3 linked regions of the Lonchura striata genome follow. The protein of the gene in region 1 interacts with the protein of each later gene in a biochemical or structural test. Links are inferred from orthologs where the notes say so. Each region holds a gene or a part of one and is shown in the gene's direction. Other genes may lie near its edges. The genes, in order: NTRK2, BDNF and PTPN1.

The links.
Region 2: the proteins of NTRK2 (region 1) and BDNF form a complex in vitro, tested with the Homo sapiens proteins (3 studies listed by BioGRID). The link is inferred for Lonchura striata from reciprocal best matches to the Homo sapiens genes NTRK2 and BDNF.
Region 3: the proteins of NTRK2 (region 1) and PTPN1 form a complex in vitro, tested with the Homo sapiens proteins (2 studies listed by BioGRID, with this or other methods). The link is inferred for Lonchura striata from reciprocal best matches to the Homo sapiens genes NTRK2 and PTPN1.

What each region holds. Positions count from the first base shown.
Region 1 is NC_134642.1:26,508,529-26,518,587, forward strand, and holds the start of NTRK2 (BDNF/NT-3 growth factors receptor), read left to right. Parts: upstream 1-6,156; 5' UTR 6,157-6,277; coding exon 6,278-6,486; intron 6,487-10,059. UniProt on the Homo sapiens protein: Receptor tyrosine kinase involved in the development and the maturation of the central and the peripheral nervous systems through regulation of neuron survival, proliferation, migration, differentiation, and synapse formation and plasticity.
Region 2 is NC_134608.1:62,120,236-62,130,886, forward strand, and holds the start of BDNF (neurotrophic factor BDNF precursor form), read left to right. Parts: upstream 1-6,478; 5' UTR 6,479-6,525; intron 6,526-6,973; exon of another isoform or gene 6,974-7,008; intron 7,009-7,280; 5' UTR 7,281-7,480; coding exon 7,481-7,483; intron 7,484-8,180; exon of another isoform or gene 8,181-8,342; intron 8,343-9,090; exon of another isoform or gene 9,091-9,116; intron 9,117-10,651. UniProt on the Homo sapiens protein: Important signaling molecule that activates signaling cascades downstream of NTRK2. During development, promotes the survival and differentiation of selected neuronal populations of the peripheral and central nervous systems.
Region 3 is NC_134619.1:1,087,203-1,097,855, forward strand, and holds the start of PTPN1 (tyrosine-protein phosphatase non-receptor type 1), read left to right. Parts: upstream 1-6,345; 5' UTR 6,346-6,435; coding exon 6,436-6,498; intron 6,499-6,714; exon of another isoform or gene 6,715-8,007; coding exon of another isoform or gene 8,008-8,019; intron 8,020-10,653. UniProt on the Homo sapiens protein: Tyrosine-protein phosphatase which acts as a regulator of endoplasmic reticulum unfolded protein response. Mediates dephosphorylation of EIF2AK3/PERK; inactivating the protein kinase activity of EIF2AK3/PERK.

The sequences.
Region 1 (10,059 bases):
CAGTACAAGTAGTATTTCCCCTTGGAGAAACAGGCTTTATAATGATATTTGCTCTCTGTTAGAACGAAACACTAACTAGCACAGCCATGATAAGCATATCAGCATCAAAACCTAAATGATATCTATCTTGAGCAATAAATTACAGAGCTTTCTTTCTTCAGCTCCATGTATTTCCTACGGCCTTGGAGGACAAGGAGTTGAAAATCACAACCACAAGCAACGCATAGTGTAATGTAGTCTATGTAAATGATCAGAGCAGCTGTAACTCAGTAACTTGTGCCAAATGAAGCTAGCCTGCAGTGTTCCAATAACTAAATTTTCAGAAGGCTGATGGTTTTGGATCTTTTTAATTAGTGTACTGGAGACTGGATTTTGGGGAGTCTTTCTTTGTCTTTTTTTTTCCCTTTATTTTATTTTACATTGACTACTCTAAAGGAAGGTTCAGAATCTCATTGGCTCAACATGGCCAAAAAATCCTTATAGTTTGGATAGCTTTTAAATGGGGAGAAAACCGACAACTAGCTCTCAGATTTTTATTATGTTGCTATTTGCCACCTGTTGAATCCTTATAATTGGAAAGAGAAGCATGATTTGCAAAACAGAATATGTATGTGCAAACAGACATATAGAGAGTCAGCTATCTGAGAAAGAAATGACTTCTATGAACTGAGAAAATCCATGCGCTTAATACAAACTTAACCTAAACAAACACTATTTGGAAATAACCCAACAAAACAGAACATCAGTGCTGGTCAGTTGCTTTGTGTTGCTGAAGTCTTACAGGTAGACACACCATTTATATTTGCTACCAGGCATCCAGTGCGGTTGCTTAGATAGCTGCAGAATCAACAAGCTGCTCTGTTTGTCTAGCTACGCAGAGACTCACAAGAGTGGTGGATAAGATAGGCTGATGCTGAGGCAGGAGCTCACAGTGACAAGATGCAGGGAAGGGAGTGGCAGTGTACAGAACAAGGCAGGGGTGAGGAGGAGGGAAGGTGCAATTAAGCGTGTGGTGGAGGAAGATACCTTTCCAAGTCTGTGTCAGTTCTACCACCTTTGGGATGATGTCTGCATTTACACATTACCAGAAAGGTATTGGTGGAATCATGTCAGACAGAAAAAAAGAATGTTTACTTGGACTTAAGCAGAAAAAGGACATCCATTGCTCCTTACAAGGATTACTTTTACCACCCCCTCTAAAAATACTCGTATTTTTTTATAAATGAGAAAGGTCTTTCCATCCAGTCTGTGATGTGATTTCTTATTGATGAAAAGAAAGTAATGGTGGTGTCATAGCAAATGTGACCAAGCATAACCAGAACACTGTGATTAATACTTTGAGCCATCAAACAGACAGAGGTTACAGGATGAGAAGCTGGATAAGTGTCTTAGTTGCATCAGGTTACGGAGGAGGCCACAGCTTCAAACCCCTGCAGAGAGATTGAAAGTGGCTCTCCATGGTGTGAACAGTGTCTCTAGGAGAGTGATTGTCCTTTTGAGAAGATCTCATGCAGACATCTCAGGCCATATCAAACTGGACCCAACCAATTAAATCTCCAGATCTTCAAATCCTTGTTTAATAGAAAAATGGTAGTTAATAAACTTTTCCTTCCCCTTTCCTCTTTTTTCTCTCCTTCCCAAAATAAAAAGTTGTGCTGATTTTCTTGAGCACAAGGTGGCAGGATTCAGCTTCACTTTAAAGCAAATGAAGGCTGAGTAGGGCTTCAAAGTGATAAGGTAAACACATTATTAGGAATGCAAAATCAGCCAGCATAAAGTAGCTAGATAAATCTGCAAATAGGTGGAATACTGGAAAGATTAAAATGTAAGCTAAAACACTCGGAGAGTGCCTCGTGTTTGGAGGAAATTCAGAAAAGTGTAGTATGGAAGCCAGATTTTGTCATTCAGGGAAAAGATGTGAGATCTTATGTTAGAGAAGCAGGTACACCTCAGTGTAAGCCCAAAAGATGCTGTCAAGCGGAGTTCACAAGCTTGCTCTGAGTCATGGTACAGAGTTGTATATGACCATAATTCTAGCTTGAACGCAAGAATACTTCATGTGAAAAGTTTCATGGGAATTGGGATATTTTGCTGGAAAACAAAATGTTTCTGATAAGATCATAAGGTCCCATGAACTGTCCAACCTCTCACTCTTGTAAGAGCTAAAAATTCTCAAACTGTAAGCAAAGTTTAAGCAGTTTATTTCTGCACAGTTTTGGTGAGACTAGTCTTTTGGTACACATTCCTTTGGATGGGATAAGGTACCATTGCACACACAAATTATGTAGCCTTTACCTGTTCCCAGACTCTGTGGTATAATTCCTTATTCCTCCACCTAAATAAAAGTACTCTCACAAGGAGTCTTTGAGTTTTCAGCTCCTACCTCTTTTACAAAATACATGTTTAAATTTTTACAGATATTTACTATACTTCCTGTGCTGTGACACATTCTTTATGTATGGTGTATGAGTTAGTTTCAAAACTTTTGAAGCAATCAAATGGTAAACTTTAGAACACAAATTTCAAGCAAACAGTGAGTTTTTCAGCATCTTCAGGTTTTCCTTGTAATATAGTCAGATGAATGTTCTCCCATAACTTTATCTATGTCAGTAAAAAAAAAAAAAAAAAAAAAAAAAGGCAAAGAAATGTGTATTGCAAACAACAGATTTTCTGGGAAGTCATTGATTTGCTCTCACCTAAGGCAAATCTCTTTACCAGCTTGGAAGAGGTTTACCTCATCTGCTCTGAGAAGGCTCTATTACTCAAGATTTGAGGGTTCTCTGAAGTGATCTATTTGCTGTTCTTAACTGTTCTTTTCAAAAGTTTTCATGATGCCAAACATGAATCTGCCTTGTTGTAAATCAAGTGTATTAATCCTTGTCCTATCCTATAGACAAAAAATATTACCTGTCCTTGTTACATATTTCAGGGCTGTTATTGAACTTTCTGTCAGACTTTCATGAACTGAAGAAAGTGAGTTCTTTCAATCTTGGCTCAATTCATATTTTCTAACCCTCTCACCACACTCTATAGCTTTGTAATATGTTTAACTCTTTGCCATAATTTTACCACCTTCAGGATGATATTTTGTCTTGTAGCATTACCAGAAAGCTACTTGTCTTTAGAGGTTTAGTTGTGGCTCTTCCTTAAATATTGATTCATATTGTGGCTCTTCCTTAAGTACTGATTAATAGGAAGTATTTGAGTATTTTATGTTCTTTTCTACTTTCTTGAATCTGAGAGAAAAATATGCACAGAAAACATCAAAATAAAACTTATCTATGTAGAAGCGAAGTCATGATTTACCACTGAACTTATTTGTACAGCCTTTCCCTTTAGTAATTCTAGAATTTAAAGACTCAAAGCAGGAGCTGTGCCTGTAGAAAGGGCTGCTGTTTTCCCTACTAAGCCAGCAATGGTATTTCTTGATAGAGTATTCCATAGCTTTCATTTTAACAATTTTGGTCACCTGAAAATATGACAATTTCAGTTTGCTTCTTCCCACATTCTCCCTCCCCCGTCAATTTTGGTCAAATACTAATTTTAGGGGGAAAATAGGTTTTTAACAGTAGTTGGCAATTTTACCATCATAGTTTCACACCTGATAATTTTTGGTATTATCATATAGAAATATATGCATCTCAAACCTTCTAAGACAAGATTACTGTACAGTTAGCAACACTCCTATAAGAAATATTTTGAATTGCAGCAGAGAAACTGATGTTTACCACAACAGGTGATAATACCCTTTTCCAAGTGTTGCCTCAAGCTTTATTTAACACTGGTCTGCAACCTTATGAATATATATGATCTGGCCTACAGAACTTTACTCTTTCAACACTATTGAATTGTTTAATTAGCCAATTTGATCCAATTGCATGGTTTTATCTAAAACTTCTTTGACAACGCCTCAATTTCACAGATTCACAGAAAACAGATGTTTGTGAAAGAATAATGTTCAGTATATGCTGATTAGTATATATGCTGATTCAGTATATATGATAAGATTAATGTGAGCTTGTTGTCATAGAATTGATAGGACAGTTAAAAAGGGTATTTATTGCCCCAATGAGGTGATATCCTTGTGTTCCTCCAGGAGAGAGAGGGGGAAATAAAGCACATTTTCCAAAACTGTAAGAAGACTTGGCTGGAGAGCAATAATACGGGTGTTGCAGCAACTTACAGGTTTAAAAATTTTACTTCTACCCTGCATTAAGGCTCTTTCTCAAGGTCTTTTCTGATTTGAATAGTATTGCAGTTTATGCTATTATTTTTTCTCTTTCCTTCACATTCTTTAAAAATTACCAACATTTTCCTCTAGAAAAATGCCACATGACATTTTAATTTTACTTGTTTTCCTTCCATAAATATTTTGTTTAGAGAAATACTTTACTTCAAAGTGCTGAACTTCATAGAGAGGCAGTATATTCTGAGTATACAACAATAAACTTCAGAACTTTGGTTAAAAAGTATCATGACTGACAATTTTTTTGATTATGGCTTTTTGTACTGTCTGCATTTGTTGCTTTATGGGGAGGTATATTATTTCTGTATAGAGTGCTTCAGCTAGGTATGTCTATGACTTTCTTATTAGGATGTTCTTTTAAAGCAAAATCTACACATGCTTGGCCTACAAAGCCACCTGGTAAAATGTGGCTTTTCCTGTTAGCCTGAGCAAATACAAATGGAATGGAGTGTGTTTTCAATTAGTGAATGTCATGTCAAATGGATTCCCAAGCACCTTCTAACAATGTATTAACTGTTCATTCTGTACCTTTGTAATAGGAATTCCGTAACCTTTTATTCTTTAATTTGCCCTGGTTTAGTAACTTCAAAACATTCAGCTTGGGTAACAAGGTAAGAAAGGACCATCAACATTTTTATACTTAATGGTGAAGTGATAAGTGAAGAACCTGTCGTCATAGATGTCATGTGCCAGGACAGAAGCACAGAATCTCAGAAACAGCAAGGGAAGATCAGCGGGTCTTTGCACCTGCGAATACGTGACACATGTATGTCATTCAGACCTGCCTCAGCCTCGATGTCGGGAAATGGTAACTACTTCTCGTGGTGTGTCGTGCGCCGTCCCACCCGGCGCCCGGGGGTCGGTGGGGCGGCGGGGGCTGCACGGCTCGCCGGGCCGGGCCGCGGTGCACGGCGGCGGCGGGGACGCGCGGTGGCGCCTGCGGAGCGCTCAGCGCGGGGCACTGCGGCGGGATCCGGTGCGCTGGCAGCGCTGCGGAGCCCGCAACCGGGGGTGGGGGCAGAGAAACGAAAACCAGCCCCGACCGCGGAGCTGTCAAGGGGAAAACAAGGCGTTTTATGGTCGCTCATTCGTCGTCTCCCGGAGTTCTCGCACCCCCGCTTATCACCCGATGGCCAGCTCCCGCCTTGGCGGGCATGCCAGGTGCCTCTCGGCACGGTGCCTCCGTCCGCCAGGCGAGGCACACTGTCCGCACAGGCGGCGACGCGCTGCCCATCCCGCAGCGTGCGTGTACGCCGGTATGAGTGTGTGTGTGTGTGTGTACATGTACATGTACGTGCGAGGCTGAAAGCTCAAGTGCAGGCTGCCTATTGGTATCTGCTCTTCGGCACCCTCCCTTTCCCCCGCTCCCTCCTCCTTCCTCCCTTGTTTTTTTTTTTTCATTTTTATTTCAGGCTCATTTTGTGGAGTTTCTGCCCCTCTCTGCGTCAGCCCCACGTCACTTTGCCGGCAGCTCCCCGTCTTGGGCTGAAGCAGGAGCCGGAGCTGCTTTATTATCAGCTGGAGGGAGGGAGGAGGAGACGGTGCATAAAGGGGCGAGCGCGGAGCTCTGAGCCCCGCCGCCGCCGCCGCCGCTCGCTGCGCCTCCGTCGCCGCCCGCTCGCCGTCCCTCCGGCGGTCAGCGGCCCCCGCAGATAGGAGCGCAGCCTCCGCCACCTGCCCCCTCCGCCCCGCGCGTTTTGCAGCATCATCGGCAGCAGCCGCGGGGGCAGGCGGCGCCGCTGTCCGCCCGCGGGGCTAGGGGCAGGTGCCGCGCCGGAGGCCCCGCTCGTCCCCGTCGCCGCGGCGCCCAGCACCGGCCCCCGCCGGCCCGCGCGGCGCCCGGGGCGGTCAGAGCCCTCAGCGGGGCGGTCAGAGCCCTCAGCGGGGCGGCGGAGGCTGCGGCTGCGGCGCGCCCATGTGAACCCGGCGTGCCCGCCCGCGGCGCGGAAGGCTGCGCACCCTCCGGCCGTGCGCCCGGCAGCGGCGGCGGCGGGAGCTGGAGGAGGCCGTCGGGGCAGTGCTGGAGTGAGCATGGTGTCCTGGCGGCGGAGGCCGGGTCCCGGCCTGGCGCAGCTGTGGGGCTTGTGCTGCCTGGTGCTGGGCTGCTGGCCGGCTGCGCTGGGCTGCCCCGCGTCCTGCGGGTGCAGCTCCTGGCGGATCTGGTGCACGGGATCGTCGCCCGGCATCGCTTCCTTTCCCGTGCCGCAGAGGAGCGCTGAGGGCGACAATGTTACCGAGATGTGAGTACGGCCCGGGGCCGGGCGCGGGGGCGACGGGCCGGAGCGGGCGGGGAAAGCCGCGGGCGGGGGCAGCGGGGAACTGACCCACGCCAGAGGCTTTTGCTCGGCGGGCGGATGTGGTGGCTGGAAGCCTAAAAGCCCCTTTTGATTTTATTTGGACGCGGCTTGCAAGAGCTGGCGCTGCCAGCCCGTTTTACATAATGAATCCGAATTGTTGGCGATGCAGGTCGCGGGGACCGGGGCGGGGGGTCGGCGCCGGCTGCCCGGGACCACGGGGCAGCCGGGGAGCGGGACGGGGCTGGGGCTTCGCCTCCGACCCTTGCCCCAGCTGCTGCCGCGGGTTGCGCACTGCACATCCGCACCTCTGCGGCGGCAGCAGGTATGAAACGGAGGGATTTTTCTATTTTTTTTTTAATTTACTTTTTTTTTTTTTTTACGTCTTTCATTCGCTGATCTTATCTCTGCGAACCGAGAGTGTTTGGTGGGTGGCTTGCCCTTCGCCCCAGATTTGTCCTGTTTTATTTCCGTAAAAAAAAAAAAAAAAAAAAGAAAAAAAAAAAGGGAAAAAAGTAAAGGAAGAGAGAGATGCGGCAGAAAGTGACAGCAAACTGGCTTTCGTACCCTAACCATAGGAATGCGAACCTGCTTTGACCTTCTCAGTGGAGGTGGCTGGAAGGAAAAAAACACAAAACCTGCAGAGGAATGAACGTAGTGCTGCTTATTAGCAATTGGGAAGGAATTAGAGAAACCTAACTGACCGTGAGGAAAAAAGTTTTTTTCCCTCTCATTCTCATGTGGTGCTTCCATCCACGTTGGCCTCGAAGACAGTATTTGATGAGGGAGTTCTGTACCTTTTTGTGTTAAATCCGGCATGGTTTCACAGTTCAGAGCACCAAAGCATTCATGTCCGTTGCCTAAGAAAATCTTTTGCAGAGCAAAAAATTTTGGATACTGGATGTGTAGATGATAGTGCTCAGGAAAAACCTTCTCAAGCTTTTTTGTTTATGTTTCCCTACCCCTGTTTTTCAATTGCTTTCTGTAGCATTTAATGTAAAAGATACCAGCATATTTTTCTCCAATCTATACAGATTTCTCACAATTTATATTCTCCATCCTTCTTCTGTTTTTCAGTGTCTTCTAGAAGAAATAGAAAAATACTATTGAAATACAGTTGGAGTTTAGATTAAATTCTAGCCTTTGGGCTACATTTTTGCAGTTCGTTGAAGTCAATTTGCTGCATTTCCCTGCATTTGCTTGGGGGGAAAGCTGGAGGCATTCATTTCTACTGCTCATGTATGGCCTACCTTTGGGAAATTTTTTAGGACCTGTGATACAGAAATGGTCTTTCTGAGTTATAACTGTTATTGATTCAGATGTTTCTGCAGATTGCTTAAATAGAAAAAAAAAATACCTTGAACTATGCATCTCTGATTATTTTTATAGGCTGTGGTAGCCTTTTTATGCAGTGCATTCTGTTTAGAAGTAACAGAGCAATTCTCATCTTGAATTTAATCTCTGGTTTGAAAGGCCAGAACAGAAAACACATATTGTAAATATGTTTTTTTCCATGATGAACTAAAATATGTCTAGTCTTTTTACATTGATGCTTTTGGTGTTAATTTTTCTGGGTTATTTTAAGCATCATTGTCTTTACAATGCTTTTTGGTTTTTACTGTATCATTCTGTGACATTGCACATTGTTTTGTTTGGTGATCTAAAAATAATTTTGAGTCATGGATTTCTCAGGAGATGCTGTTGCACATATTTAAGATGGTATTTTCTTGTGTGCTTTTAACATAAAACACAAGGACCCCTTAATTAGTTTATAGACAAATTAAAGATTGAACTGCAGTAGCTGTCATGTTATTTCATTGTGTGAAAGCACAGGAGCAGTTCTAATACAGTTGGTACAGATTGTCAACGTGTTTATAACACCACAGATCTTGCTTAATTCTAGCTAAGAAACAGGTTTAAGAGACTGGAGTGTTACATTTTACTTGTGTAGCTTCAGGCCTGGTTCTTCTTTTATGTTCTCTGCAGATACATTCCATTGGTCTCTGGTGGAATTACTCTTGGTATAAATAACATGTAAGAAGTATAAGACAGTTAATTTGAAGAATTTATTCACATGTATTTTATGAGTATCTATTGAAATCAATCCTTCACTTGTTAGTTATGTCCTGGTCTTGACAGGAGTGCATCCTGCAGTCCTAAGCAAAACATCCACAGGCACCCGGGGCGTGGGTCCTGATTGAGTTCTTTGCCACACATACTGGGAGCGCTGGATTAACTGCATGGTTGGGGTGTGTATGTGAAACCCATGGTGGTGCAGAGGATTGGCTATAGGCCAGGTGCATGGCATTGAGCAGGCAGGATGTGAGTGGGAAGCCAGGGTTTTCCACTTGGCTTTAAGAGATGGAAAAAGATGGGATGGTGCAGCAGGAATAACAGAGATGAGGTACCATGTATCTGGCAACCTCCACCACTTAAGACTCCGGTGCTTCACTGTTTTGGTCCACAGGTGGGTTGTGCTTTAGAGTTTATAAGCAGTCTCATCCAGTCCGGCTATTTCTTGATTCCTGCTCAGATTCAGCATCCAAAGCTATGTAGAGGGTACTTCTGCATCAGCCCTATGAAGGCCAGCTGCTGAAACTTGGTGTGGGAGGGCATAAGAGTATTTATGCCTGGTGCTTTCTTAGTCATCTCTCTCACTCTTTCCCTTCCTGGCTGTTTTTGCATAGTGTTCTACTACAGTAAATGAGACAGATTTTATATTTGCCTGGTTGGTTAAGATGATGGTGTGGGCTGGTCTTTATCTGGAAAACAAGTACTGGTGTTTATCATAACACACTGTACTTGTAATAATTGTTTGGTCACTTTGGTATTATTGGAGATAAACTGAACTCCAGAGTGAGATCCTGCATTAGGATAAATGGTATCAGTTATTGATACATTAAAAGCTAAGGACCAAGAGTGACAAAAGCAAAATTGCTTTATCAGTTTTGTAAAATCCATTCATTGTAGACACAATGGCAAATAAGCAGGCCTTGTTGAGATCACTCATGCAAAAATATTAATAGGATAGTAAATGAGAATTTTTTAGAGTGGTCAGGACTTCTGTAATATTTTCAGGACCACTGTAATATTTTCTCATTAAGGAAAATGTATTGCTGTTGTATCTCAGTGTACATGACTCTTCAAAGACTTTGATTTAAAAGTGCCATCTTGCAGTACAAGTATATTCCTGGCCTAGTTTCACAGTTCTGCTATCAAGTCATTAATATGTTTATTTATGATTATTCAGGTGGATGAGGTTTGAAATTAATTGGTGTTTTTCAGGAAGAACTGCTTGCCAACAAAATAGTAGGTGACTTTTAAGCTCTTGCTTATTAAAAGGGAGGTGATTGTGTATTGCGTACATTTCAAAACCACAAAATAAATTTCTAATGCAGTTATATAAAGCACTCTAGAATTGTTAATAAGTAAGACAGGATAAGTAATTTATAGAGTAAATTATTTAACAAGTCATGTGAGCTTGTGCTAAAAAAAAAGAGCATGTTTAAATTCATTGAA
Region 2 (10,651 bases), on another chromosome or scaffold:
CAAACAAAAGTTACTTGGACTCCTATGATGAGTATTTAGAACAGGATAGCACATCAGAGAAGAAAGTGGAAAGGAACATGTATAGGTTTTATCTGGTTTGATTCCAGTGGAGATGTGAAAGGTAAAGAGGCCTTTTTTGGCTGAAGTGGATTAATTCATAATGACATCTGTGCATCCAAAGTCTCCACATGTGCATTGCAGTTAAGAAAGGCACTGACTCCTAGAGCCCATGCAGAACATCTTTAAGCTAAATAGACAGCATTACAAGGGGCACTAAAGGAAAATAACGGCCCCTTTTGGTCATTCTAGTTTCAGGTTTTGGGGAAAAAAGTCAGTTTTTTCATCTCTGCTGGAACAGAAGATTTGCTAATTGCTGCACAGTAGAGGTTTTCCTAATCGCCCACCTTATTGACAGATTATCAGGTAGAGCAAAGCAAGGGATGCTGCAGCAGTATGTGGGCTGCCAGTGGAAAAGACTCATCTTCAAACTGGGATGCAAATACAAATTAAGAGTAGCAATAATATTCTTAATAACGCCCTCTAACACTGCTGCATTTGGTGAGTTTATCGCAAAATCCTAAACAAACCTCCACAAAATTTTCATCTAGACTTGCCCCTATCTTTGTGAAGTTTGGTTTTGGAAACAGATCTTAGCTGTGCAGCTTCAGGTTGAATAAGGACAACAGATCTAATTCATCTCAATCAACAATGCACTGAAGAGATCTGCTTGGTTTAGTGTGCAACTGCTCTCTTTAGCAGTAATGAATGACCCCATCAAAAAGTTAAGATAGGGTAATAGCACCACCTGAGACAGAAAGCATCATGTCAATTGTCATAAGACATAGTTAAAGCTTCCTGTGCAGCTAGGCTCAAAAACATGTATACAACTGCACAAAATAACACCTTTGTCTTTGAAAATTTCTTTGTGCCCTAGCTGAAAGGAATATCCAGGACCCTGTGTTTTGGCATCAGAAGTCTTGCTCTAATACCCCTGCCCTCTTTAGCGGTGCATTTGTAAAGCTCTCAGCCTTGTTGGGAAACTGGGATAGTGAGACAATAGTGTCTAGCAGGCTGTTTGTCCCCCAGGGTTTCATATGTGTTTTGCAGCAAATGTTTTCAAAGTATCTTGTTTTAAAGGATCCTTGCAGGAATTCTTACATGGGAGCAGCTTTATTTATTTAGGTCAACATTAGCACTGTTTCCTGGTTGTTGTGAATACTATCTCAGGGGAGAATTTGTCATTTTAGTCTGAAAATTACAAGATAAAAATAGACAGGACGATTTCATACATAACTGGTAGGAGGTATTTTTAGCTAACTTGTTGCAAGAGCCTGGATGGAGGTTATTATTTCACTAAATGCCCCCAGTTCGGTGGTAGCCTTGGAAGAGTTTCTCTGCATTTCTACTTTTCCTTCAGCATTTTTACCCCATACCACTATTGCCCTGTTCCTCTCTTCTTCTATTTTCATCTCACCCTCTTCCTCTTCCACCCAGGGGCCTTGCAGAGAATGCAGTTATAGTTGAAAGAGTTCATCATATGAATGCAGAGCTTGCCAGCATCCCTTAGTAACCCTTATAGGACAAGCATCCAGCTCCTCTTACTCTCTGCTAACTCCATGTGTAGTTCCTCCAACAGATATTTTGATCTCAACAATAACATGTTTCTACCATGCTCCACAGGGTTCAAACACTGAGCTGTGACTGTGAGCTCCCATGGAAGCTAAGAAGGTATTTGACTGTTGAGAAGTAGATTCATATGTTTTGGAAGGTAGTTTCCTTATAAACATTAACTTTGGAAGGGAATTAAGGAATGTGTTTACTTTTCACCTGTAAGTACAATTAAGGCTAATCCCCTATAGTTGTGTGAGGGTATTTCTGTATGGGAGTGCTGGTTTTCTTTACTAACTCAGGTCTGCATGTAACAGCATTTAAAAATATGATGAGGCAAGGATGTAGCTTATTTTGTTCACAGTCACGCTGTATATTTTCTCTTTAAAGAAGATTGAAGAAAGAATCTCTTTTAAAGGCTGATGCCTGGAGATGTTTTCTTGTGGTTACATGAAGCAAGGTGTAGACTTCAATGCCAAAAGAAAGGGTGCCCTACCTTGGCAATGAATCCTATATTCAGGTTGCAATAGTAACAGATTACAGCTGTCATGTTTCTTTTTCTCCAGGTTCTGATTTCTCTCCGTTATCTCTGGTTTTCTTCTAGTAAGAGATACCCAGTATCTCATTTTGCTCAGGTCAGGCAGGAGAACTTACATTGGTCAATAGTTTCCATTACATTTATCTAATCTCCTGTCTTTTCCAGCTAACCTGAGTGCCATACAGGTACTGAACTACATTTGCATGTGTGGTAGTTTGAGAAATTAATTAATTCTAGAAGTTTTACTGAAACACACCTTTTCCATAAATGACAGAAACAGTTTAGACAAAACTTCACTACAATAGTGGTTTTTTTTACTGTAAGTTGATGGCAAGGAAATAATTAATGCAAAACTCTCAGACCTGTCCTTGAAGTCCTGCTACGGTCCCACTCCCCTGTGAGAGGGATGTGGAGGTACCTATGGACAACTGGAAGTGCAGAACAGAGGATTTCCCCAGGATCAGCAAGCTGGTGGCTGACTTAATGCTGACAGACCCCCTATCAGCCCTGATCCATGTCGTCCCACTGTAACCTGTGCTGCTGCCTCCACAGATTAGTTATGCTGGCCAAGGCATCTGTCTCAAGGTATTTGCTTCAGACACTGTGAATGATGGAAACCCTGATTAATCCTGGCTTGTATCAGGGCTGGCTTTCCTTAAGCATACTGAGCTCTCCTCATTTTACCAAATGTGAATATGAGCTTGGCACAGTTTGTGATCTTAAAAGAAGTCAACGTGGCAAAATACCTCCCATTGATGGTGACACTGAAGCCCTTCTCTTGTGGGCTGAGGTGGGTTGGAGGCCAGGTTCTGGGCCCACCTGTGGGATTCCTGTGGGAATCTCAGCCTCCCTTCCCTGCAGACACTTGGAGAGGAGTCGGTGATCAGCCGTTCTCAGAGGTGCAACCACAACAAGCACATGTGCTGCTGCCTGTCTGCTCCAGAGGATTTCCTGCTACTTGCAGGAGACTGCAAGCAAGCTGAAATGTTCCAGCACTCTAAAGGAGGACAAGGCATTGGTGGGAGGCTTATTTAGTATCTGAGTGGGATCATGACTACGATGTTCATCTGCATGTTACCAGCATGGAATATACGCACTTTGAAGACAAGTAGGCTCAGAAAGAAAGGAAAACTTCCAGGGAGGGAGGAGGCAGAGTGAAAGACTGCTAACACTTGCAGCGTGAAGATCAGGGGAAAGATAGAAATATCAGAGCAAGATAATCTACAGGGGGAGGAAATCAGGCACAGAAAATCAACACTTGATGGGAGACTACCCTAAATACCTAATGGGAGGCTGGTATTTACCCTCCAGGCAGTAGCAGGGCAGGTGCCAAATCCGCCTGTTGAAGAAGCAGGAGGTTACCAGCAAAACTAGCACACCATAACCCTGGGGGACCTTTTCTGCAAACACACCATTAGATTGCTGGCATGGAGAGAAGCTGGCAGCCCCGTTTCACACCAGCGATGATGTCACACAGCTCTTATTTCAGAAGCATCTCTGTGAAGCTGACAGCTACTGCTATCATCTGATTCTGCTCAGATTGCTAATGTTGGTGTCTGAAGCAGGTTTTCGGTGGTCCCTGAAGGAGCAGCTGTACATAATGAATGGAGGGTGTCTTTTAGCACCTTAGCAGTTAGGTGCTTAGCAGTTATCCACATATTTTGGTAGTCTTTCAACTGTGTGAAAAAGCCAACCAGCTCATCATTTTCTAAGGTGTTTTAAGGCAGGGAAAGAGCATTTGCAGCTTGCTCAGGATTTTGGGATGCTTCACAGGTTGATTTAAGTCACTGTGACTTTCTTGCAATGCTCCTGCAGTATTCTTCACATTGTTTTGTCTAAGAGAAGGAAAATGTATGGCTGATTCCCTCTTAATTAGGCCTCATCTGCTAAACAGTTATGTCACTATTTACGTATGAGTAGTCCCCACTGAAGTCAGGTCCTGCAGCTGTATACTTCATCTGGTAACAATGTGATTCCAAGATAAACAGACTTGGAACAAGAGATGTACATTGCCTTATATGTATGAACTACCTGCTTGCAGCAAATGCTGTGCCATGTCATCCTGGCAAATGCTAACAGCTATTCTATTTCAGCAGCCTGTAAACGGACCACCTGATTATTAGTTTTAAATAATGGGCTAAACTCTACCCACTGCTTCAGTTTTTACTGAGGTGTATGACTTGTCAGGTGAGTAACTGAGTCACTTGTGCCCCTCTACGGTAGTAAGGGAAAAAACCCTCCACGCCAACTCACATCAAGTGGTTTTTCATGGCTGCGTCTCCCATGGCCTGGGGGTAAGATCTTCTAGAGAAAAAAACAAAACAAAACAAAAACCAAAACAAAACCTAGCTGGAAACAAGACATACGGAAAGGAAATGTCTAGAAACTCAACGGGCATTTAGGTTTAATTCTAGTCCATCCCCTTTCTAATGCCCTTCTTGCAGGAAACGCTGACAGAGGAGTGACTGGTGCATTGACTGGTGTCTCAGTTTCAGCACTGGCCCATCAAAGTGACTTGGGCTGTTCTCTCACCTGTGAAAGCCACTACAAGGAAAGAACTCTGTTTTATACTGCCTCCTCCTACTCTTCTTCTGCCAGGTAATTCCCATTCTCCATAGCATCTCCTATTACCCTACCAATGACCTTTTATTTTCCCACACACTTTTGTACCATTCCCTTGATTACAGCCCTGTTTATTCCATTAATTACATTGACGCTATCTAAAGCAATCTCTTCAGCAAACGTGTGCTTAATTTGGTCGATTGAGAATGATCTGTGTTAATCAGTTGTCACATATCCCCAGGGGGGTGGGTGCGTGGAGTCCAATTCTCAAGCAGAAATGCTGACCAGGAGCTCTTCTAGTTAGCTGTCCAAAGAAGTAACTTTGCTCATAGCTGTATCTCACATGGCACCCCGACAGGTCTCCAGAGCAAACACAAGCTCTCCCAGGCAGCACCCTACCTTATCACTGCTGGCAAATCCCACCAGTTTCCAGCAGAAAATGCATATGCACAGGGCTGAAATGACACCATGCTGCTTCCTGCTGTGGATCTCCTGGGAAGCTTTGCAGATTTGTTGTAAATTTAACGTTATTACTCAAGACGATACTGTGGCCCACCAAAGGTTTCTCCTGGGCGTCTCTAACAACTGAGACCTTCATCAGAAAATGAAGATACCGAGAAGTTAATGAAATTTCAAGTAGGGGACGAACAGTGCTGCTAAGTACTTTGTTACAAGTGCTACAGTGGCAATTACTTTCACAATGAAGGCAATGTTTCTTGAGCTCTAAAATAAGTGTGCAGAAATACATTTTAAATCATAATGGATCGTTGTAAAGTTCTCTCTATAAAACACCGAGGACTCCACAGGGTCAGAAACCTTTAAGATTTAGATATGTGTTTATGTCATGAAAACGTGAATTGTGCAGCTTAACTACTCAAAGTAGATATTACCAAATTACTTTATTCCCCTGAGGAAGGGGCAGGAGCAAACTGCTTAGAAGAATGGGAGAAAGCAGAACTCATTGCAAGTCCACTTGTTGAAACACTTAGGTTTTTGGATTTTTTTAACTTTAATGACACTAAAAACTGTATTCCCGACCAGTATTAACACTAGCTATGAGTATTTCCAACTGTTGGAAGAAAACTTCAGCTTCCTGACTGAAGATGAGCACTTGAGGACGTGTCTCGGGTGACACCGTGTCAGAGAGAGGATGATGTGCCGGGTGCAGTGTTACATCAGTAGCAGGCTTTCCGGCAGGCTCTGCCTGCACATGGCACACAGGCAGCGTGTGATGCAGTGAGGGGGTTCCGTGGTTCTCCTCAGGGCAGCTTTGCTGGGTACCACTTGACTTTTCTTCTAACACCTTGTCCCCAGGACAGCCGAGGCAGGAAAGTACCAGCTGTACCAGTCTTAGGGCAGCATCTGCTGGTTATTGCATGGATCAACATAGACGGTTGTCATGGAAGAGGCTGCTTGCTTGGGCTCCCAGGCAGAGGTACCTGGGACTCGGGGGGCGGGAGAAACAGGCGCTTTGGAGATAAATGACCCGTGAATGTAATTCCAGCACTCAGTCAGGAGAGAATGGGAGTGGACGAGGAGCTCCCCGGTCTTGCTCTCTTTTTTTCCTTATGAGAGGCAGCACCCATAAACTTTGGCAAGTCCAGGCTCAGTTGACAGCAATTCGCCTTCAAAGGCGAAGAAACCCGCCGCGCCACCTCCCACAGCCCTTCCCGCACCGCTCCCGCGGGGCTCTCGGAGCCGGGAGGCGGGGCAGCCACTGAGAATAAACCCGAGATGCCAAGACAAACTGGGGACGAGGACTTTGGAGGAGCAATCCTGGGGCTCGGCCACCTCTCTCGGGGAAAGAGGCTGCCCAGGTGCGCGGGCGTTCTCCCAGCGCAAGCAGAACCGGAATTGACTTGGCGATAGAAATCACGGGCGGAGCCGGGTGCTGCTGGGGCCCCGAGGGGAAAAGGGGAGAAGGAAAAGGAAAGGCAGATACCGGGGATGCGCTCCCCTCCCCTCTGCCTTGCCGGCGGCAGGGGCTCAGTGCAGGCCGGCGGAGCAGCCCGCCCCCGGGATGCGCCTCCCAGCGAGGGTGGAGGGAGGAGGGGGAGGAAAAGCGTGCGGGAAGTTGCAGCTCGGGAAGGGCGAGGGTTTCGGAAAGGAACTCGTCTTGGCAGCTGTGCCACGCTCCTCTTGTGGCAGGACCTAGTATGCAACAAGTCCCTGGAGCACTTCCCGTGAGAGCGCAGTGAACGTGACATTCAAACAAACAAACAAACAAGCAACCCCCCAAATGTCGACTTACCTGTCCCGAACATAAATCTCCGGAGCCGGCTCGTCTTGCACGGCCCCAGGTGCGAGCCGGGAGGTGGGAGGAGGGCGGTGGGAGTCAGCGCTCGCTGCGGAGCGCGCCCGGCCGGCCGGGACTTCGCTCGGGAATTTAGTGTCCCGCTCCGATTTCCTGGGAGGCGGCTGCCATCACGTTTTATACTGTATTGGTTGGTAACCCCTCTCATTCATTAAGATCACGTAAGAACTCAGAGGGAAACGTGACTCTGAGCTAAGGCGTTTGCGTAAATCTATAGGTTTTTAAAACTCCCTGCCAGTTGCTTTCTGTCTTCTGTAGGCACCAAGGTGGTGGAGAGTTTAAGCTTGCGGATATTGCAAAGGGTTATTAGATTCATAAGTCACACCAAGTGGTGGGCGATCCACTGAGCAAAGCAGAAGTTCTCACATGATGACTTCAAACAAGACACATTACCTTCCAGCATCTGTTGGAGAGACTGGATTTTAAACCACTTCTGTCTCCAGGACAGCAAAGAAACAATGGTGAGTACCTACCTGCAAAAAAAAAAAAAAAAAAAAAAAAAAAAAGCTTATTTTAATACCTGGAGAGAAGAACAAAACAACTACACCAAAAAGCTTGAGATGTTGCTTAACGACAGCATCTGATACCACGGGCTCGGCTTTATAGTACTTAATACGCCAAAGAGCGTAACCGGCGGAGGCCGGGAGAATTGTGTTTTAGACCGTGTAACTTTAATTGCGGCGCTCTTTGATTTAGGGCTGCGATGGAAACGGCGCGTCTGAGAGAGAAACTTGGAGCTGTGGCGGCCGGGCTGTGGCCGGCGCTCGCCTCTCCCCGGCGGGCGCTGCCGCCTGCCGTCGGGGGGGCCGGGGGCTCGGGGCTGCCCGGAGGGGGCGCGGAACCGCGCGGAGCGGCACGTCACAGGCGGGGGGCCGCGGCGAGGAGCGGCCCGGGCGCGCAGCGGGCGCGGCGGCGGAGCGGGGCGGGGAGGCGGCGGCGGCAGCACCCTGGACAGCGGCGGCGGGGGCCGGCGGAGGCGGCCCCGCACCGCTCCGCATCGCTCCGCGACCCGGCGGGCTCGGGGAGCCACTGGCGCTGGGTACCGGCTTCCCTCCCCCGCCAACCCCCGGTGCTTCCACTCCCCTCCCCTCCCCGCCCGCCGCCCTCTCGCCCCGCTGGAGCTGGGCTAAGTTGAATTCCTAGCGGTGCGGACTGGAATAGGAACAAGAGAGGAGGGATAAAAAAAAAAAAAAAAAAAAAAAAAAAAAAAAAAAAGAGTCTTACAAGCTCCGGGGGTTGGTTTGACGGTGTCAACTTTGGGAAATGCCAGTATTTATCTCCGCGATCTAGCCACTGCTCGTGGTGTTAGCTGTAACCAAGGTAAGCAGAGGGGGGACACCCCCGGCGGCCCCTCTGGCTCCTGCCTCTACCTCTCTGTGGTGCGGGGATGGGTGCCTGCTCTTCGCCTAGTTTTGTTACCTTGCTTGCTGCTTGATGTGTGTGAGGAAGGAAGGAAAAGCTGGATGAGATTTAACTACGAGTTAACTTAAGTTGTGCCTGATTTAACCTGGGAATCTCGTCTATGTGTATGTGCATGCTTTGGGCAGAGATGCAACTGATCTTTACCAAGAGAAGCAGATGCGACGGATTTTTTTTTTTTTCTTCCTGGCTAAGGATGCAAGTTGATTTTGCATAGCTAAAGAGATGCAGCTGAGCTCTAGCTGGCACTGATGTGCAGGACTGATCTTTCACAGATAAAGGGACGCAGCTGATCTTTACCTACAGGGAGATTAGCTGACCCCTCTGTATACGCAACCTAAGGCTCAAAGGGAGAGCCGTGCATGTATTCCTGATGATCCAATATCCGCATCTACTTTGCTATAATTAATGGTGTGTGTGCGTGTGTGTGTGTGTGTGTGTGTGCGCGTTTGGCAAGCCTGAAACCCAAACGCAGCCCCCCCAACTGGAGATCATTCGGATAAGCTTTCTGCTCATCTCCCTCCCTATCTCTAGTGCCTTCCCCCCACCCCTCCCCGCACTTCCGATTCTTCCTACGTAGAAATGTAGCTAATAATATTTAGTCTCCGGGCTAAAAATAAGCTCTGGAAAGTCAGCAGTTTGGCGGAGCAGCGGCGGCAGCAGCAGCGCTCGCAGGTAGAGAGGCTCAGGGGTCTCTCCGGCTCCGCACGGAGGCTGTGCATCCCCCCCTCCCCCGCTCCCCGCGGGGACAGGGAGCACGGAGCCGCGCCGCGCCCGCCGCCCCGCTCCAGACAGCCCGCGCTCCTCCGCCCGGGGAATCCCGGCCGCGGGAAGCCCTCTCCTCCCCGCCCGCCGGAGCTGAGGGCGGCCGGCCGAGCCCCCCGGCACAGCCCCGGAGCCACAGGCCCTCCCTGCGGCAGCGCCCCGCGGCCGGTCCCGCTGCGGAGCCGAGCCCGCCGGGAGGAGGGCGGATCCCGGGGCCCCGCCGCCCCCGCCTCCCGCCGGGCTCCCTCCCGCTCGGCTCGCACGTAGCGCCGCCGGGCAGGGAAGCCCCCGGCAGGCGGGAGGGAGGGAGGGAGGCCGGCCCGCCGCGGGGAGGGGGCGGTGTCCCCACCGCGCAGCAGGGCGGAGACGCCGCGCAGGGCACCGCGCCCGCCGCGCCGGGCCGGGCTACCCCCGCCGGCGTCCCCCCGTGCTCCCCCTCCCCACCGCGGTTGCTACGGCGACCGCCTGTCCCCGGGAGGCTCCGTCCTGCGGACACGGGGCGCGGTGCTGCGGAGATAGGGCATGCCGCCCCCTCCGCCCCGCGGCCCGGCAGCGGCTCCTCGGCGGCAGCCCCTGGACGGCACCGCCGGCAGCACCGGAGCCGCAGCGGACGCCGGCGCAGCCAAAATGGAGGTGGCGCAGGACGGCAGCGGAGGGGCGCGGGGCTCGCCCCGAAGTCGGTCATCTGTCGCTTCTGCTGCAGCCGTGTCTGCTGCGGGGCTCCGATCGGGCAGGGGGAGCAGCCGCTCTCCGCCCCGGGAGATGCGCTACCGGCGGCCTTGGCTTAGCGCCGTCCTCCTTTCCCCTCCCCCGGCCGGCCGGAGGAGGGAGAGGGCGGCATCCCTCCGTGGATTTTTCCACTTCCACCTGGAGAACTTGCGTTTGCTAGGGATACCTGTCAGGGTGCCATAGGAGGCAGTTCTTAGCAGCTGTGGAGGCGAGGAGAGAGGAGCCAGAGCAGAGCCAGGTCTCAGCAGCATCCTTCATCAGGAGGCTGGGTGACACTCAAACACTCATGATTTGCAGTATTTGGTCTCATTAAATTCATAATGAAACGTCCTCTGACCTTTTTTCACCTAGGAAAAAGTAATGTGGTAGAGCTAATATTTCAGTGCATCCACTCTGAACTAGAGGTTGATGAGCCCTACTAAAAATCTATCCACTTCCCAAAATAAATTTTTCTGTTATCTAGGTTGTCAAGGAGCTTCTAGTTATATGAATTTTCCACTCCATGCATAATTTTGTGTATCTTCCTGTATTTTAAGTTTGCACCCATTACTTTCTTGCCAGCTTTTAAAAAACTCCAGCATTTCCCTTTCTGCCTCTGTTGCCATGTTTCTCTGGAATTCTAATCATTCTCTGCAGAGATGCATGGGATGGACGGCTGCTAACAAATGACATGGGCCATATTTGGTCCCATTGTGGTGACTCATACCTTAATCTGC
Region 3 (10,653 bases), on another chromosome or scaffold:
CTGTAGCAGAAATGAAGTCCCTTGTTTCTTTTTAAAAGTTCCTTGTGTGAAAAAACCCAACAACTGAAAAGCTAAAATTTCCCTGAAACCAACTGTAAAACAGTACAGAAATTATCTTGTTGGGAACAGATCCTCTGTGGATAAAGGTGGTTTCTGTTTTTTTAAGGACCTTAGTCCTTAAAATACATATTAGTTTTGGTTGCCATGCACACCTGCTCCCTGAGAGGTCACTGTGACCCATTCATATTGATCTACATGCAGATAGGAGTGAAATGTTGATATTTTGTAAGAGTTCCATGTTTTCACTGACAACATTTTTCATATGAACCAGAATAAATTGCTTTGGTTAAATTTTCTCCTATTTTATCAGCTACAAAAGAGAGATTCATTCCTGTTGGAAGGGTTTTCTTTGTAAAGAAAAGCTTGTGATTCAATTCCATATCACAGGCACTCAGAGAGGATTCATACGTAGTGTGCCTGATGCCACAGACAGAGAAAGTAACAGATTTTTACAGACACTGAACTGGCACAACAATTCTTGGAGCTTCCTTTGGAACAGAGCAGCTCTGAAAGCCAGAGGTGACAGGTTAGCAAAGCCCTTACAGTCAATAGATAAGGTATCAACAGGCTGAAGGAGAAATTACAGGTGAAGTACAGCCATTTCCATTTCCGTTCAGCGTTAAGGGAGCTTGATGTCTGGGCTGAGAACAGCTGGTTCAGGCGGGAGGCTGGAGGCACAGAGCAGATAACTCATCTCAATCATCAGCCAGTGCACACTGAGAAGGGGTTTGGTTTGGGTTTTTTTTTAGCGCTTTAAAATATTAACAAAGACCTGAAAACTCTGCCTCTGAAGGCATTTTCCAGGCTTTGCAGAACCAGGTAACTGTCACTGAATAACGATACAGCTGTTCTCTAATTTACACTGACAATTGTTTCACCTACCTGGCAGGTCAGAGAGAGCACCAGCAGCCCTCCATCACCACAATTATGGATTGTGCAATTTCGTTTTCATTTGCGAAAACATGGATAGATGCAAGCGGATTTCAGAAGAGCCAGTGTGGGTGAAACCATTCCCTCCCCAGTCCCACCACCCTGCCCGTTCTCCAGCGCAACGCCTCCTCCTGCACACGCACAACTTCTCCCTTCTGTTTATTTTTTGTTTTAAACACTCTAAGCAGAAATTGACTTTGGCTGCTTTTCCTGAACTCTGAAGTGTTTGAGCAGATAAGATTCAGATAACCCATTAGAAGAAACGTTCCTAGGTCCCTCTTCTCCTGGCAGGGGGTCACCAAGGCCAGCCATGCATCGAGGTTGCTTTGCCCTGCAGAAGGATTTTTCTGTCTCATTTACTTTTCAAATTGGGCCAGACTTTTTTACTGTATCTCACTTGTAAAAAATGTTCCAGCTGAAAGATACTTGTTTATGTGCAGTGCTGGGGAAACACAAAGTGTAAATCTCCCTGCTGCCATCCCAAATCCGGTGCTGGTTTCCCAAGCAGTTTTATTGAGCCCCTCGGACTCAGCAAAAGGGAGTTGATCTGAGCTCCTCTTCCATTACAGAAAATAAATAAAGAGTGAGAAAACTCTCACACTCTAAAAGCTCTAAGATGTGCCTCCAGAAAGAACTGTTCTTTAGAGGACAATATGAAAATAGTCACACTTGTTTCAAGGAAATACTGATTAAAATAGATAAGATTTTATTTTCCTATTTTTTTATCTTAAAGGCTTACCTGAAATGAGAAGGCTTTTGTTCTCTTCCTAGACAAAAAGGAATTCAGGCTGTTCTTTCCACACAAGATATTTGTTGTAACTACAGTCTTACTTATGGCTGGCATGCATTTTGTCACAAAGATAATAGTAATAATAATAATAATAATAATAATAATAATAATAGTTGTTATTACTGCTGTTATTACTGCTGTAATTACTACTACTACAAATAACAACAAATTTTAGAACACCATGGATCACTGAAATTATAGAATTAGCTGGGGTGTCTCAGGATGGAGTCTTGAGTGGTAATACTGGTTTATGGTACTGATATTTATCTTCTTTTCTCCTCCTGCCCCAGCATCAACGTGTTCTGTAGTTCTGGAAATATTGTTTATGTGCCAATGTGGTTTACTGTACTAGAGACCTAGTCATGCCTAAAGCTAATCCAGAAGAAAAGTATTTTTTGTGGGGTGTGGTTTTTGGTGGTGGTGGTGGTGTTTTTGGGGGGATTGGTATTTTTTGAAGTAGCTGTGTTCCCACCTCCATTCCCAAGTGCAGCTGCATGAACACTGGGGCTGGCAGAACTGCAGGGGTGGGATGCCACAGAAACCAGCAGCGGGTGCCAAAGGAGGGGAGGCTCGGTCGCTGCTGCTGCCACACACTTTGCCTTGGATACCCACCTCAAGGGCAGTCAGAAAATCATAAATAAACTCCCTTTGCTCCAAGCTAAGGCTGCTGGCAGCAAGGAACTCGGGGCAGACTGCAAAACCCTGCAGGAATCCCAGGCAAATCTGCAGTGACACCAAGGACACTACTGTCTCAGCAGGAAACCTTTGCTGTGTCAGTAACCACATTTGAGCTAATGCTCCCTGCATTTGTAAAACCAGCAGCCACAACTTTGAATGAAATGCAGACATTGAACATCTTCAATGTGAGGGAAAAAATATTTCTGCTTGCCAGACTAGAGATGTGCAGACTGGAGCACTCACCGTTCTGCAGCCCGGGGAAGCACGGGTGGAAGTGATTCCAGACTCAGGGATGCTGCATCTGCTGCAAGGAAAAAGGATCACTTAAGGAAAAGGTTGCTGAAAACATTCTCCCATTAATCTAAAACACTACATAAAGGATAAAACAGTGACTGAAAGCCTGGGGATAAATTACCTTACAATCATAAACATACACACATCTCTCCTGACACTAGAGAGTCCATCACCCCTGAGTCCCAACTGCATTTGGAAATCTTTATTTAAAAAACTAAACAATCTGGCAAGATTTCAACATAGACCTCTCAAAGCCTAATGCTGTGAAACTAAAGCCAGCTCTGCAAGTGTAATTTTACTCTATTATCACATTAGTAATAAAAAAAGTCTTCCTAATCGTTACTACTTGACTTAAAAATCCTGTGTACGAGTGAAATCCAGGCTGTGATGGCAACGAGCAGTAAGGGCTGGAGTGCCATCCAACGGTGAGATATAGTCACTAACAGCTGATTAAAGATCTCTGCCTCCACCTGCTCCTGCCACAGCAGGGTATGAAACGCCCTGTAAAACCCACGGAGGCTCTGAAAGATCTGAACCAGCAGAAGCTGCCCAGGCACACACACACACAGAAGTTATTTTCCTTTAACAGAGGCAGTAAGCAGAGTTTTTGGTATTCTAGTCTTGTTTGCAGCACTCAAGTTCCATCCCATCCCATCCCATCCCATCCCATCCCATCCCATCCCATCCCATCCCATCCCATCCCATCCCATCCCATCCCATCCCATCCCATCCCATCCAGAACTTCTGTTTCACAAAAGCTAAAGCCTGGCAGCTGCCAGAGCAGCGAGCCCTGGGGCTGGCACACCCTGCCACTCCACAGTGCAGTTCGTGTATTTGTGTATTCCCAGCTTTCTCCATCAAGATCCTCTGAGCTGTGGAGGATGAAGAGAGGATATGAAATGTAGGATTGAGTTTGGACAAGCACCCGCCTTTTTTATGAAGTAGAAATAAGTAACACGATCCAACCCTTTCCCCTGAATTCTCATTGTCATTTTAAGAGCCAGGCTCTAGTGGACAATTTGAAAACCAAAACCTCTGAATCAGGCTACACTGGGATGAAAATACAGTGTGCCTTAAGTTGCACAGGTTGGAATTGTTTTGGGAAGGGACTGCCTTTCTCTGTGCAAAGTGCAAGAAGGGTTGTGTCCTGAGAGCACAGAACATTTTCATTTACCTAATCCTCCATTATTATATGGATCTGAGTTACCAGTAAGACTTTTAATCTCTTCTGTGTTTTATTTCCTGCAATCCTTCGCAGATTTTGCAACTTTTAGTATTTTGTAAGGTAGATCATAAATTTCATAAAGGCTCTTAGGAAATTTTTTGCTGCTCTGCATATGTGCGGAGGCACAATTTGAGGATTAAATATGTATTAAAGGGTGAACAAGTTTGTAGGGCACAGATGTCTGATCCAAGTGGCCATTTTCAGCTCATATTCTTGGCTGGAATGTATTTCAGACCTTAAGCTCTACTGGGACAGGTATCCCTGGCACATGTATCCAAAAGCGTGGAGCCAGTTGAGTCCAATTCAGCACTTGTGTAAATCCCCTCTGGCTTCAGCTGAAGTTATAAATCCAGAGATTAATTTACCCTTTATCCATTGCAAGCCAGGACTGAAAATTTAATGAAAACAGACCTTCCTGTAACAATTCCAATCCAGACATTCCTACCACCTTTCCTAGTCTATCCCAACCATCAATAAATTTTATTGTAAGATGTTTATTTTTAAAAAATCTTATAATAATTTATACTGTGTAATATTATATTATTTATACAGTATAATATATATTATTGTATAATAATTTATACTACAAAGTTATATACATTTTTATACTAATTTATACTATTTGTATATCATTTGTACGGCTTCCTACTAAGCAGGAAATAGTTCAGAAGCCACCAAAGAAACCTTACAGAAAAGCCAAACTATGCCAGGGCCAATTTTCCCTGCAATTTTAGACGGAAATACTCGGCCAGCGGAAAAGTACATCTTTACGAGGAGGAATGGGAAGAACTAGAGTAAGAACTCGCAGGAGGAGCTGTGCCCTGCCTCCGGCGCTGCTGCTGCGGGAGGAGGCGCGGGCGGCGAGCGGGGCTGGGTTCCAGCACTCCCGATGGAGCAGTGACACCCAGCGGCTCCTGCCCGCTGCGGGCTGCGCTGCTGCACCGGGCTCTGCCGGGGCTCGCTGCTGCACCGGGCTCTGCCGGGCTCCTCCGGGGCTCTGCCGGGCTCTGCGCTGCTGCACCGGGCTCTGCCGGGGCTCGCTGCTGCACCGGGCTCTGCCGGGCTCCTCCGGGGCTCTGCCGGGCTCTGCGCTGCTGCACCGGGCTCTGCACCGGGCTCTGCCGGGCATCTCCGGGGCTCTGCCGGGACTGCCCTGATGGAATGGGCTCTGCACCGGGCTCTGCCGGGCTCCTCCGGAGCTCCTCCGGGACAGCCGCGGCTGCGGGCCAGGGAAAGGGGACCCCGGCCTGAACATTACCTGAGGGACCCCGGGCATCACACACCTGAGACCCCAGCCCAAACACACCTGAGAGACCCCGGCCCTCACACACCTGTGGTGATCCTGGCCATCACACACCTGAGGGGCCCCTCAGCCCTCACACACCTGTGTAAGTTCTCAGCCCTCACAGACCTGTGTAAGTTCTCAGCCCTCACAAACCTGAGAGACCCCTCAGCCCTCACACACCTGAGGGACCCCTCAGCCCTCACACTCCTGTGTAAGTTCTCAGCCCTCACACACCTGAGAGACCCCTCAGCCCTCACACACCTGTGTAAGTTCTCAGCCCTCACACACCTGAGGGGCCCCTCAGCCCTCACACACCTGTGTAAGTTCTCAGCCCTCACACACCTGAGGGACCCCTCAGCCCTCACACTCCTGTGTAAGTTCTCAGCCCTCACACACCTGAGGTACCGCGGTTGTGACGTGGCTCGCTGAGCCTGGCATTGAGTCCCCGTCTGGCTTCTGATTGTCGCATCTCCTTGTCCTCACTCTCATCTCTGCTCACCTGCCCTGTGCAGGTGTGTCCCAGCCGAATCCTTCTGCCCGGTGTCCCCGCTGCCAGGCTGTCCCCACTGCCGGGGGACACTGCCCGGCTCCTGTCCCGCTCCTGGACACTGAGGTGACCCCAGCCCCTCACAGCTGCTGCTGCTCCCACGCTGAACGAGACCATTGTACACATTGCCCGAGGTCCCTCAGGTGTGTGCTGGCCATGAGCTTCTCGCCACCCTTCTCAACCCCTTGACCACAGCCTCTCATGATTATTCTTACGACTAAACAGCAATTATATTTACCTACTAAACAACCATCACGTCTAACAATTCTATCACTTAGCCGCACAGCTGCGCTTCTAGCAAGCACACGGCCTACACTTTCCAAGGATGTATCTCCCAGAGCCCACTAAGCTTAATTTCCCTTCCCGGGCGGGCACGGCGGGGCACGGAGGGGCACGGAGGGGCCCGGGCAGGGCACGGCGGAGCCCGGGCGGGCACGTCCGTGCCCGCCCGAGCTCCGCCGTGCCCTGCCCGGGCCCGGGTCCCACCGCCCCGGACATGGCGTCGGCGGGGCGGGTGCGCAGTTCCGGCGGCACCGTGAGGGCGGGGGCCGGGCAGAGCCGCCGCGGCCTCGGCAGCAGCTGCAGCCGGAGCGGCGCTGGGGGGCCCGGGCCCCCTCGGGGTGGAGATGGAGATGGAGAAGGAGTTCCAGCGGCTGGACCAGGCCGCCAGCTGGCCCGCCATCTACCAGGTGAGGGGCAGCGCCCTGCCCGGTTCTGCCCCGGCCGCGGGTGGGGAGCGCTGCCTGCCTCCGCTCGCTGCCTGCCGCTCGTTCTCTCCGCCGTGCCGCCGGTGCTGCCCCGGCACTGCCCTGCCCTGCCCGGCTCCCCGGCGGGCCGGGCCCCGCCGCGCTGCCCGCCCGGAGCTGCCGCCGCGGGCGCATCCTCAGCGCGGGGACAGCGGAGGAGCCGCTCCGGCCGCCCCTCCGAGCTGCCTTCGGCTCGGAGCACAGCAGCATTTCGCTTTTCAGGCGCCTTAATCATAGAACAGAGCCTGCAGCAGCTTATTAGCAATACTCCTGCAGCTAGCTGCTGGTGGGTTTTTATTGTGTCGCTTGCTGCGTTTAGATTTTTTTCGGGGGTATTTAAAACAGCGCCGTGACAAACGTTAACGCTTGCAGTAATATTTGGCTTCTGGATCCAGCTGAGCATACAAGCCACAGAAGTTGGTGCTTTTGTCTTTAAAAGTTCTTCACACCTTTATCTAAAATGAAGTTTAAGAGAAGCTGAAATACGTGAATGACTGGGCGGATGTGTTCAGTCAGATCAGGCAGCATTGCTGTAACATCCATTTGAATGTTTAAGCTGGTATATTGCATAAATGAATGACTTGAAGTTCATGTTTGCAACATAGATGTTGAGCTTTGTTTCTTTCAGTGTGAATTTCTCTGGCAATAGACCATGGAGAGGAGTTGCATAAAAGTGAAATAAAAGGACTTCAGTTTCAGAATAGTAGCATGCAAGTTGTAACAGCAGTAGCTTGCAGGGTGAACATCTTGAGTTGTCTGGCCTTTAGAGAATAAGCATGACATGTTGAGCCTGCTTTTCAGAAGGTCCATTTCCTACATTTCCCTGCCGAGTGTCAGTGCTTGCCGACTGTATCAGTTGAAAGTCATGTGGATATATGACGTTATGTTTTTGCTGAACCGTTCTGGATGATTTGGTGTGTTGCGAGCTTAGTGCTCAGGAAATGATTTTGAGTAACAGAGCTTTGTAATTTAAGTAGTACATTTCTACAGGTACAATTGAATTACAGAAGTGAAATATCTACGTCGAATGAGGGAATGGCCCATTTTCAATGAGGGATTAGCATTCAGTGATATTTTTGTCCTGCTCTCTTTGAATGATATGACTCAGTGGCCTGCTCAAACTGTAGCACAGCATGAGCTTTGATTGAGGACTAAAATTCAGTTTAAAAAAGGACTGAAGTGATTCTTTGGTTTGCATCCAACTATTGACAAGCACAGGGGGTGGGATTTCTACTTGTTTTTTTTTTTTCCCCTGATTGATTAGTAAATATGTGCATCTATGTCATGAAATTCAGTTTCTCAACTGCATCCTGCTTTTAAATAAGCTGCTGGAAATGGCATCTTGGCAGGTCGTGTACATCTGGAAGAAGAAGGTGCTTCTCCGTGAGCTGTGCTTTTCGTGTCTGGGCTGTGACATTAGCAAAGCAGTTTTCCTACAATGCTGGCTTTTGCATGAAGAATGCAGTAAGTAGAGCAGTGTGTGTGATGGGTGCAGAAAAGCATTTCCCCCGGGGTAATTGTACCACGGCCTTCTGGTACCTCAGCGTTGGGGTTGTAACTGCTGGAACCCAGAAACATTCCCCAGTGCTGCAGGTGAACATTTGCAGCTTGCCCGTGTTCCTTGCCTGTCTGTTATCTGGAGATACAGCACAGCGGCTCCAGGAGGAATGAGCCTAGACAGGGAGGTGTGGCTAAGGGAAGGGAGACTGCCTGGGTGCCACATGACCTGGAAGGGTTAAAATTGTCCATGCGTCTTTTTTTTCAAGGAGCGGAAGCTGTGTTCAGCTATGATAGTACAGTTGGGAAAGAACAGAATTTAGATGATCTCCTTTTTTCAGCAGAAGTAATCCCAGCATGGGGAGACACAAACGCTTCAAAATGAAGACCTTGTTTAGGTGATTTTGTGACGATCAAGTCTTGGGCACTGCACAATGGTGGAACCATTCTCTGTACAGCTGGTCACAGGGTGAACAGTGATGAAGTTCTTTGCGTTTTGTTACTCTAGGGTTTTTTTGAATGTTTGTTTGGTTTTTAATACCTATTTCTATCCCATACTTTCCTCTAGATTTGCTTGTTAAAAGAACTACGAGCCATAAGATTCTGTGGAGGCTGTTCAGGGACCCAAGTGAGAAAAATAATTGCTAAGGTTCTGGCTGTTGTTTCTGTTTTAGAGAAACCTAAGTGTAAGAAAGGCGCATTCGAATTAAAATCCTCTTCCATAAAACCATAAGAGGAAAGTGAGCTTTACCATGTACTAACTGTGGTAAAGGTGTGCAACAGAAAACAGATTCTTAAGGGTAAGTGAATGACATGCACCCTGCAGAAATACCATTAGAAGTATCTATTGGAATGAGAAGCTTTCACTCCGGAGATGTCACAACAAAAAACCCGTACCCCAAAGCTAAGGAAAGCACAGTTTAAGCTCTTAGAGGAGGAAAGAAAAGTAGATATTTGTCCAGAATATCAAAACAACTGGATGGATATCATGAAAACAACAATGACTGGATTGTCATTTGCTCACAGTGAGCGCAGTATCAGATTTTCATAGTAATTTCACATGCAGAAGCCTTTCAGAACTTTAGAAGATGCTTTAGTTTCTAATTTCTTACACAGGATGATAGAACGAGATATTATCTTAAAAACACATCCCTTAAATACAGATAGAGTTGCTTCTTGTGTTTAAAGAAACCAGATATGTTGACTTTAGTATGTTGGCCAATGATATTAACTTTGATGTGCTTATCAGGAGCAGTAAAAACACCTCTGAATTATTTACTGATGTACCATTCAACTGGTGATTCCATCCACTATGGGTGGAGGCAGAGCTGACATTTGGGGACTGCTCATGCAGAGTTTTCCATGTGAAGGCAGCAAAATGAAAATAAAATGTACATTCTTTTCTAGTTTGTATAGTTAGTGGAATATATAATAAGAACTGGATATAGTTTAGATTTTCCAGCATGTTTGGAAGTGAGTATCCTTCCAAAACCTATCTCTGGAAAACTGAAGTGTAGTTGGAGTTGGGTTTGAGGCCTGTAAATAACTGTTCTCAGTTTCTTTATTCATTTTTTAAGGTCTTTTAACCAAATATTAACTTGAATGTTTGAATGCTTCAAACCTCTCTAAGCTAAATTAAAATACTACAGATTTTGAAAATTAATGAACTTTATTCAGACTATGGGAGGAAGATAGGGATCGTGGATATTTTGGATATCCCTCTGTCACAACATAAAAGGCATGGGAAGCTTTTTAGATACTCACTGTCTCTGGAAGAATATTTATAGAATATTTTCTTACGTAGATGGATTTTGATGCTGGAAGTAAACTGTGAAATGGTTGACCCTGAAGAATTGTAACAGTGTGGTTGTGTTGTGTGTTTAGGGTCAGTGGAAGGGAAGCTTTAGAAGTGTTGTTGGTTTATAAGCTGCAGCAGGAGTGCAGGCTGCAGTCTGAAAGCATTTGGGTAGCTCCTTTGCTCAGGTGCTAAGCAGCAGATAAATTGTGGCACGAACATGACTTTTTATAAATGCATCTTTGTGCTTTATTCTGCCAGTTCTAGCTGCAGGTCTCTGCATGCAGTGCCTTGCCACTGCTTAATTTGTGCTCTGTTGATTCATTTGAGGCTCAGCATAATTGGCTCTGGCTGTAGAAAGCTGGTTTAGGGCTCAGGGTTGCAGGGAGTCTCTGTTCCTTCGGTAAGCTGAAGATATTCCATGTTTTCCTGTGCTGTACGCTGAGTCTTGCTGCGTGTGTGCAGGGTTAGTGCTGGACAGCAGAGTGTGGCTCACAAAGTCAGGGTGCTCCCTGGAAAGCAGAGCTGCTGCTCAGCTGCAGGGGATGGCACCTCTGTGCCCTCGGGGCACTGTGCTTGGGCTTCAGTGCTGGCTCCTTCACAGCAGCGCCAGCCGTGTCTCCTGCTGGCAGACTGGAGATGGCCTAAGTCCCCTTAGATAAAGCTACTGAGCCACTTGCTTTTTCTACAGAGTTTAAAATCAAATACTGGAACCCAGAGCTGCTGTGATAGTCTAGCTGGAAGCAGAGCATGGGAAAATGGAGCCTGTTATGGTTATCATTTGCTAAAAGTTTAGAAATCATACA